Linked DNA regions of Caenorhabditis elegans. The protein of the gene in region 2 interacts with the protein of the main gene of each other region in a pairwise test. Each region holds a gene or a part of one and is shown on either strand. Other genes may lie near its edges.

What was found.
Region 1: the proteins of adk-1 (region 2) and vps-33.1 interact in a two-hybrid assay, tested with the Caenorhabditis elegans proteins (one large-scale study listed by BioGRID).

What each region holds. Positions count from the first base shown.
Region 1 is NC_003281.10:8,698,987-8,704,080, reverse strand, and holds vps-33.1 (Vacuolar protein sorting-associated protein 33A), read right to left. Parts: upstream 3,155-5,094; coding exon 3,098-3,154; intron 3,042-3,097; coding exon 2,919-3,041; intron 2,862-2,918; coding exon 2,700-2,861; intron 2,655-2,699; coding exon 2,574-2,654; intron 2,528-2,573; coding exon 2,430-2,527; intron 2,337-2,429; coding exon 1,826-2,336; intron 1,780-1,825; coding exon 1,617-1,779; intron 1,571-1,616; coding exon 954-1,570; 3' UTR 740-953; downstream 1-739. Other genes in the region: Solute carrier family 12 protein B0303.11, read left to right, coding at 64-170, 220-304, 358-452, 497-638; sdz-1 (Skn-1 dependent zygotic transcript 1 protein), read left to right, coding at 3,748-4,235, 4,284-4,515; B0303.7 (SH3 domain-containing protein), read right to left, coding at 4,887-5,094. UniProt on the Caenorhabditis elegans protein: Plays a role in vesicle-mediated protein trafficking to lysosomal compartments including the endocytic membrane transport pathways.
Region 2 is NC_003282.8:11,208,672-11,212,825, forward strand, and holds adk-1 (Adenosine kinase), read right to left. Parts: upstream 2,161-4,154; 5' UTR 2,134-2,160; coding exon 2,059-2,133; intron 1,986-2,058; coding exon 1,669-1,985; intron 1,608-1,668; coding exon 1,502-1,607; intron 1,442-1,501; coding exon 1,115-1,441; intron 1,063-1,114; coding exon 859-1,062; 3' UTR 638-858; downstream 1-637. Other genes in the region: R07H5.9 (Kinesin motor domain-containing protein), read left to right, coding at 1-108, 170-237, 282-471.

The DNA.
Region 1 (5,094 bases), on a different chromosome or scaffold from region 2:
CGTAAGATTTGAAATAGTTTGGAATCAAGCTTACTTCGGATTACTGTAGCGGATAATTTTCAGATAAACGAGGAACAAAAGAACATGGCTGCAATTCTTCGAAAGTTCCATATCGACTCTTCAGATCTTCATATTCTTCCAGAATTTTCGAAACCTCCGTGCAAACAGACGTTAGTTTCAAGATCTTCCTAGATTTTAAAGTGTTAAAAATGTCTATAGATACGATGAATTCCGAGCAAAAATTGACAAATACAAGGTGGAAACCAGCAGCAGTGGTGAGCCTGTAGACGGATCATTTGATAATGTGAGTTTATCTATATTAGAGCACATGCGTTACTCAGAATTTTGAATTTTCAGAATCAAATATTCAATTTGCGAGAGAAGACTAGAAGCTTCTTGCGTGCATCGGAACTTATTCGAGAACACAGTTCAGATGCTGATCTGATTGTTTGGTGAGATTTGATTTGTTTTCAATTTTTCATATTCATAGTTACAGTACTCTTCCATCAGCTCGTCCTGAAATCCCATCACCAATTTATCTCGGATGGATCGATATGCTCTCCCGTCAGACACCCCCGACATGCCTTGTACGTGGAAATCAAGTCTCGATGAGTGCTCTTCGTTTGAAATTCCCGTAATTCTCAATTAATTAGTCGCATTTCAAATTGTTTCTCTACGGGCGAGTCGGACGACGATTGATTTCGTGATTGTTATTGTTCACGGTGATGATGATTATGATAATGTAAATAAGTTTTATGAATTCAATAAACAGCTCTCTATTTTCAACTTTAAAACATTAAAATACAACGTATACTCACAAGAAATGAAATCACAGGCAATAATTGAATTTGGTAGGGCCAGTTGGATAAGGCACAGAGTGGAATTGGGAATTAAACATATGATAGTGAGGAAAAATCGCGATTTTGGGTAAACGATATACATTGAAATCATTTTTAAATATTGGTAATATTATTCAGAAGCTTATCGCCAGTTATCAATGCACTTGTAGTGATAAGTGCAACATTCGGAAGATTTTCTCGAATAATTGCCAATTCCGATCGTGTTAGTCCTCCAATAACGAACACACAGGTCCCTCTGCCATCTCTTTCAGCAATCAAATCTGATTTATCTCCAATTACAGTTTTTGGCCAGCCGACCCATTTCACTCGATCTCCTTCTTCAAGCATTTTACATAAAAGTGGTGAGAATCCACTGTAGGCGTAGGCCATATCATCAAGTTTTGCTTCACTGAACTCTTCTGGCAACATATCGTGATTTTTCTTCATTTGTTGGAACATCATTTGAGCATATTCACATTGCATCTTTCCGCCACCTCCTTTTTCACGAATCAATCCCATTTTCTGCATTTTCAGAACTTTATTCAAAGCTGAAGATCCATAACTTTGATTGACAATTCGACGATAGTGTTGGAGAACTGATGGTTTCAGGCCACCACATGTCAGAGAATGAACTGAAATGAGGCGAAGAACAGCATTCAATGGAGAAGCATCAAAGATGAGATCTTCGATTAGTGGAATCGCTTTATCGCTGTCAGAATATTCAAGGAGATCTGAAATATAATAAATACTTACAGAAAAATAATTAGAATTTTGAACCTCGTTCCAATTTAATCGAATCCGACTGCTTACAGTACACATGTGATTGAATCATTTCGGCAAGTCGCATGTGCACTTCAATCATCTTTTTTCGATTAATAATTTTTGGCATTTTCTTGACTAAAACCGAATATTCAGCAACTGACATCTTATCTCGATCGAACTGAAATTTAAAAATAAATATTTTGTGATCAGTGTTAATAACCAACCTGTTCGTCATCTCTAATTTCAGCCAAAACTTTTGATGCTTCAATACTGACAGCATTAATATGGGAATGTTTCAGTCTATGATACACCTCATCAATCAAATAAACTTCTTTTTCTTGAAACGGATCTCCATCTTTTTCGTTTTTAAATTCCATTTCTGGCACTTTTACAGAATTCACCATTCCAATTCCATAAATCTCATCAAGAAGTCCATAAAATGTCAGCTGAGAGAGCATTGGTGTGAGTGGATCCATCCATCGATCGATTAGAACGATTCGATTAATTTTGAGAAGACCTTCAATTGGATCCAGATTTTTCGTCATACTATCCGCTTCAGCAGAATTTCTAATTTTTCCCATCATTTTGGCAACGTCTGAAGCCCATTTTCCTTTTGCATATATTGACATTGGACGTTGATTTGATGATGAAGAACGTCCACGACACATATCAATTAGTTGATTTAATGCAACAGCGCATTTATGTAGATGGGTCCAATCTCCGTTTATCAGAAGTCTGGAAATATTAAATTACGTTTTAGAAATGATTTTTTTGAAAATATCTGTATTAATAAGACGTTTTTAAATAATTTAATCAGCTAAAAAATACCTTGCAGCTATTTGAGGACTGGAGAGTGATAGACATTCGCCGTCTCGTGGCAACCAGCACAATGGAATTTCTTTTACCGATTCCAAACGTTCCCAATACTGAAAGATATTTAATTGATTATAATAAACTTTTGTCAAACAATACTTTTCCTTCTGCCCTCGTTTTCAGACTTTCTCGAACGACAAACCACGCCTCGGGAATGAAGAACACTTGGTACAGGATTTTCTGAACATTTTAGTGTAAAATTGTTAGAATTTTTTCTTTTCTTACCGAGTCATTCCGCACGTTATCAATATAATCACATAGTAAATCCAGTGAAACCATTGTCGGAGCCAAAAAGAAAACGACGTGTGGAGTGGAGGCGGACTTTTTGGTTTCGATTGAATGATTTGCAACAACTCCATGGGCAGCAAGAACTGATGCACCGGCAAACTGAAATTAAAACTTTTTTTTCAATTTTATGTACTTTAAAATATATTTTCTACTAACCAGATTAACTCTGTGCATTACACTCCTATCCCGATCCCAAACAATTGTTTTATTCCCGTCTAAGGAGTCGAGCACTGAGAAAAGAAGATTCCTACTGTATTCATTTGCACTTTTGATTTCGCTCTGAAATAAAAAAAAAATGAATAGAATTGTGAAAAATTTATTTTTAGAAAACTAACAGTCCCTTCCCAGTTGAGAATTGCAGCTGCATCATCTCTGTCTTCATTGGCTGCCATATAAAATTGAGAGAATTAATATTTCAAATAGGTTAAATATAATTTAACAGAACATGAGTCAAAAACTTCGAAAAATGAAAAAATAAACAAAATTCCTAAGCCAGAAAAATAAATAAATACTTCGGGGACGAACTTTCCACAAGCGCGCGCTATTGAACTTTTTGCAGTTGTTATGCCAGCGAAGTTAGTCCTCGTGCTAAAAACGGAGGTGGTTTAAATTCTGGTTTTATAGGGGACCCTCTTTCTGATTCAATAGTTTCATTCGGTGTGATTTTTCATTTGAATTCGAGCTCCTTGACATACTATCTCAATTTTGTTTCGTCGGCAAACCAAAAGACAATGTGCAAAGTATACTCCCAAGTATACAAAAAAGTATACAGTATACAGTGGCATAGATAATTCCTTTGTTCAAGAAGCTAAGATCTTAAGATATCCGATATGATGACAATCATTTGCTAAGTATCCAGTTAGCATGAGAAGATGTGAATAATCATCACAATGACAAATTTGCATAAAGGGGCGTGGTCTAGTGGTTCTAGAATTGGTATATAAGAACTCCGAGTTCTGAACAATTAGTCATTATTCATTTAATAATGTTGAGATATATCTTTTTCGCTGCTATTCTTTTCTTCGTCTTCCCAAACACCGAGTCCGCTGGATTTCTCAAATTTGAGTTAACAGCCGACAGAGACTGTCTCCTTCATTTGGAACATTCTTCAACATATTCTGAAACAGTGCGCCTTCTAGCATACGAATCCCGACCATTGGAAATCTATACTCAAGGTTCTATTAATGAGATTCCAGTTCATTTCCAACTACTTCATCATTTCTCTGGTAAAGCATTATCAGAGGCTAAATTTCAAATTTTCCAATTGAAAAATAATGGACTTTGGGATTCAAAAGTTATCGATACTGATAAGGTTATTCTTTCGGTTCGTTCAACTTTTTATTGTGAAAATGGATATTTCGGTCCAATTTGTGATCGTCGTTCACGGACTTTTGCTCCAAAATCTGATATTCAAACTTCAACACCTGGATACCAAACTCAAGTTTTGAAATTTGATTTCAAAATAAGTGACGAGTAAGTTTTTACATTCCCAATAATTCTAAAATTATAATAATTTTTCAGCATAATCATCTACTCCTCTCTTGCATTTTTCGTGCTCCTGCTCATTATCTTCAACTGTATTCTGTGCTGCTATCGCCCGAAGAAGTCTCAAAAATATCTAGATGTATCACTCGGTTCTCCAAAAGTATTCTCTATTTGTGGATACTCTGCAGATAAATCAGGAAACACTACAGAATATTTGGATGCACCAAGCCGATTTTTCTCGTCTACTAAAATTGAATGTGTCGTATAAATATTTGAATAATCGAACCTACATAATATTACGTTCATCATATTGTAACAAATTCTTCAAATTCATTATTCTCCTCAATAAATTTACTTTAACATTTTTCTGAAGTTTTGGAAGTTCACAAAATAACTATTATAGTAACGCAGAGAAATGAGCTATTTGAAATTGATCTACAAACGTTAATTGGAAACGCTAGGCCCACACTTGATAAGGCAATTTATTGAAAATACATTTCTAGAAAATTTGACAATCGGCACAAAACACGCATCGGGGAAAATTTGAATTTTGTAAATAAATGACATATTAGAAAATACAAAAAACTGGCACATATAAAGCTAGAAAGTGAATTTAGTGAGAAATAATCAAGACCAGAATCAATTTTCCAATTTGACAATATTCTTTGGCAGAATACCCGCTGGCAAAGTCTTGAAAGCTTCCAATTTTCCCTTGTAATAGTAGTCATCAACATCTTCCACAATCAATAAATGATCGCCACGTGTCACATAAAGATGTTTGGGATCTTCGGAATGATAGTCACCAGTGGCAACTGCCTTCTTCGGAGAGAATGCACATGCAATTTCA
Region 2 (4,154 bases):
TCTGAACCGACGAAATCGGACACATCGAAAAAATCATCGAAGAAATCTCGAAAAAGTAGCCGTTCTTCAAAGGTTCCACATAGAAAGTTCAAGAACGTAGGATCTTTGGTAAGTTGGAAATATTTCTTTACTATTTGAGATAGAACAAAGAATCATATTTAAATTTCAGGATGAAAACGGATGTGTAAATGTCAAAGTAGTTGTCATCGAGAGACCAATCATCCGAGATAAACTCAGGTTTGATTCGTTTTCAGAATGAGCAATTGATAAGTAAGTTCCAGACCGATTGCTTTCATTGACAGTGTATTGTCTGCTCATGTGAAGAGCATTCTAATCAATGTCCTTCATGAGAACTACGAAGGTCTACCAGCGGAACAACTGATCAAATCAACTAATGTTCTTTTTGCTTTCCTTGATAAGAACGGCGTACAGAAACTTCGACGTGTTCGGAAAAGTGACGTTGATCACTAACAGTTTTACAATTTACCAAAACTGTAAGTAATCATATTCCTCTAGTCCTGATAAATATGCAACAAACTTTATTTCAGCCGTGGCAGTGTCGTTCTGGTTCTGGATCTGATTGGCTTTGTCGAAAAGGGGAAGAAGATTCCAATTCAAATCGACATGGATGAAGAATAAAACTTTGCCATTTTATTAAAACACCTGATAAATGAATTATAAGGCACATTTTGGGAACATTTGACAAAAAAAACAACACCAAAAGAAAAATTTCGAATAATAGGGATGCTCGAGGACGGGGAATGGGGAGCAAAACAAAGAACAATTTGATATACTATAAACCAGGGGACTGGGAAATTGAAAGCAGAGAAAGTTGGGATCACAGATTATTTTATCAGTTTAATGGTACTTGCAAACAGATGGCACTGTGCATCCGTGCTTCTTGATGATTTCTTGAGCAGCATAAGATCCACAGGTGACTGAAGCTTCGACTCCCTTTCCTTGGATGAATTGAGAAAGGAAACCTCCGACAAAAGCGTCTCCGGCACCGTTGGTATCGACGATTTCTTCCTTTGGAAGACGAGTTACTGGGAATTCGGTGACCTGTAGATTAAAATTGAAAACAATAAATTCAAAAATTATCAAAAACTCTCACCTTATCTCCTTCCACGACGATGACTGGCTCTGGTCCTTGAGTGAAAACAACGAGTCTTGGCTTAGTAGATTTCTTTGGAAGTGCAGCAGCCTTCAAAGCGATCTCCTTGACACAGGTGGTCTCCCATCCATTGGCTTTAGCAAAGGCAGCAGCTTCGTCTTCGTTTCCGAAAAGAACATCGACCAATGGAATGATTTCCGAGAGCTTATCGAAGAAAAATTGGGAGATGAACGGGGCGGAGAGGTTAAGGGTGAAAGTCTTGTTGAATTCGGCAGAGTGGCTTGCGAGTTGGAGAATAGCTGGTGGGCAGACAGTGATGAAGAATCCCTGAAAATTTTACATTGAGAATACTTTTGTGCTTATTTGTAAATCAATTCGATAACTTACAGTGACATAGAAATATTTGGCCTGCTCGATGATCTTCTGATTCTCCTCCTTCTGGAGATGATCTTGAGTGAAGGTGTTAGCAGCAGCCAAATGAGCACAGAGTGATCTGAAATCATTTCAACACGGCAACGATGATTTTTCTGTCCGTCAAACAATGATCCGCTTACCTATGAGTTCCGTTGATGAGGGCTGCGCAGGTACCGGTCTTAACTGTCTCGTTGATCTGATAATGCACATTCACTCCAGCTTCTTTGGCTTTCGATGCCAAAAGATCTCCGTACTGATCTTTACCAACAGCTCCAAAGAAAACTGTTCGGTTTGGTGCGTTCAAAATCCATTGAGCAACACGGAGCGAATTCTGTGCGGCTCCTCCTGGAATGTACTCGACTTTGAAATCTCTGGTAAGCTCGGTGAACATGTCATTGTGCTTGTCGTCGCAAAGAATGGCGTCGTTTTCTTTGAGTCCCCATTTGTCAAGGAATGCCTGTAGATTTCAGCAATTAAAATGAAATATTTTTGAATGTGCTTCTAGATTTCTAGAGAAATCAAAAACTTACCTTTTCAACGGTGGTTTGAATGTCCAACAATGGATTGCACATTCCGATGAGGGTGTTTTCTGGCAGAGGAGACATTTCCGTGACGTGAGGAGATGGGATTACCTGCAGATAGACAATTAGAAAATGAAAAGTGAGAAAAAGGCGAGTTTTGAACGAGTAAATAGACATAAGAGAAAACAAATAAGAAGATTGGCAAAGAAAGAGTGCGAAAAAACCGTTTTCGTGCTTTTTTGAACACGAATAACGCTGTAAAGCCAAGATATTTTGTGTTTTAGGACAATACATTTCCACGAAATCCACGTTGTAATTTGAAATTCCGGCCGAAAGACATTTTTGATAAACAACGATCGCATGGGATATCGGAGTGTCGTTGCAACGTGTTTTAAGATTTTATCGATCATAAATCTTTGCTGACAGAAGCGGAAAGTTTTTAAAACACCGTTGCTATCTTAAAAAACATGAACGTTTAAAAAAACCAAGAATAAAATTTGCAAGTTTCTAAATGTGGAAGTACCTCCTTCAAACACAAATTAGTGAATGCTATTTTGAATAATATTTTGAATAATATATTAATAATGGCTGATTGTTTGATGAATACTGTGTATTTCTTTTCCAATTCTACGATTTTAAAGTGGGAAGCAGTTATGCGGAATGGTCTCGCCAAGAGCCGTCTATTGATATATTTTTCTCAATCAATGGCTGGCGCGTGGCGAGACCAATCCGCATAAATGCTCCTCCCTTTAAAATCGTAGAACTTGAAAAATTCATAGTAAAAATACGATTTTCGAAAGTGGGAGCGATGAGTTTCCAGAAAAGTGAACGATCAGGCGTGGAAATTCAAATGTAATAAGATAACTTATTAGAACTTGGACAAAAATGAGAATGAGTTACACACAAAGTACACGATTCTGATGAGAAATGCGCCTTCCAACTAGCCTATCTTCTATTTTATCGTCCATTACTCCCCAGTCTGTCTGCAGTTTCTAAAAGATCTCCGCTATTTCGTTATCGGTTTTTTGACCGGCAAATTGTGACACTGATAGTATCTACCGATATGCCATCTAGCCTCAGAACAAGAAAAGTTGGCTAACTTGCGGTGGTGGTTTGAACGAGACAATTTACAAGTTATGTTCAATTTAGAAAACAATTTTAGTTGTCAATGGCTTTTAAACCTAGCAATTACATTAAAGTCTATTGCAAACAGTTTAAAATTGAAACTAAGCCTGAATAAACAGACACAGTGCGTAATGCAATTTTCATGTGGAAGTTGCAAAAAAGATAGAAAAAAGAGAAGAAACTACAACGGCAACTGTTATGAAAAAACCGATTGATTTCCATTGTGTTCTATGAACAGAAGGTGTCTCCTGCACATAAGTTCTCAAAATGAGAAAAATTTTCGAAAATGGCCTGATTGAAAGTTGATAGTCGATCAATTAATGATCTATTGGGGTTTCTATGTGGAGTAATATAGAAGTTGTACTCATATTTATTGGCAGTAGTTAAACAATTACCTATATACTCCGAAAAGTAAAAACTACAAAGTTTTTTTCGTACCCACGTTGTGAGTTGATACTCAGCTAATAGGTGAATTTTCATATTCTCCTTCACTGCACTATTCACTATATATATAATAGATAGCCGTTATAGAGCATTATTTTCTATGAAAATTAAACATTTAAATCTTTTTACTTATTGTAAATAAATACTTTTAAAACCTACGTTTTGAAGAACTTGCATATTTCAATTAAATGAAAAAACGTGTTACAGATTTAATATTGCCACTGGAGATTTAGTCTCAATAAACTCCAAGTAGTCTAACATGGCCGCACATTAGTAAATTGCCAAAATTGGCCAAAAATGCGTATTTTTGAGTTATTTCAAGCATATTTGTAGGTCCAAACTATTTAAATTTTTTTCTTTGAAACGGAACTAAAAAATGAAACTGGTAAATGTAACATTTTTTCTACTTCCAAAATTATAATATAGAAAAACTCTTAGTTTTCATTCCTTTTGACTGTATAAAAATTATTTCAAAAATTTTGCGAAAAGTTTTACAACGATATTTGGAGCAGTTTTAAACAACTTCATACTGAAGT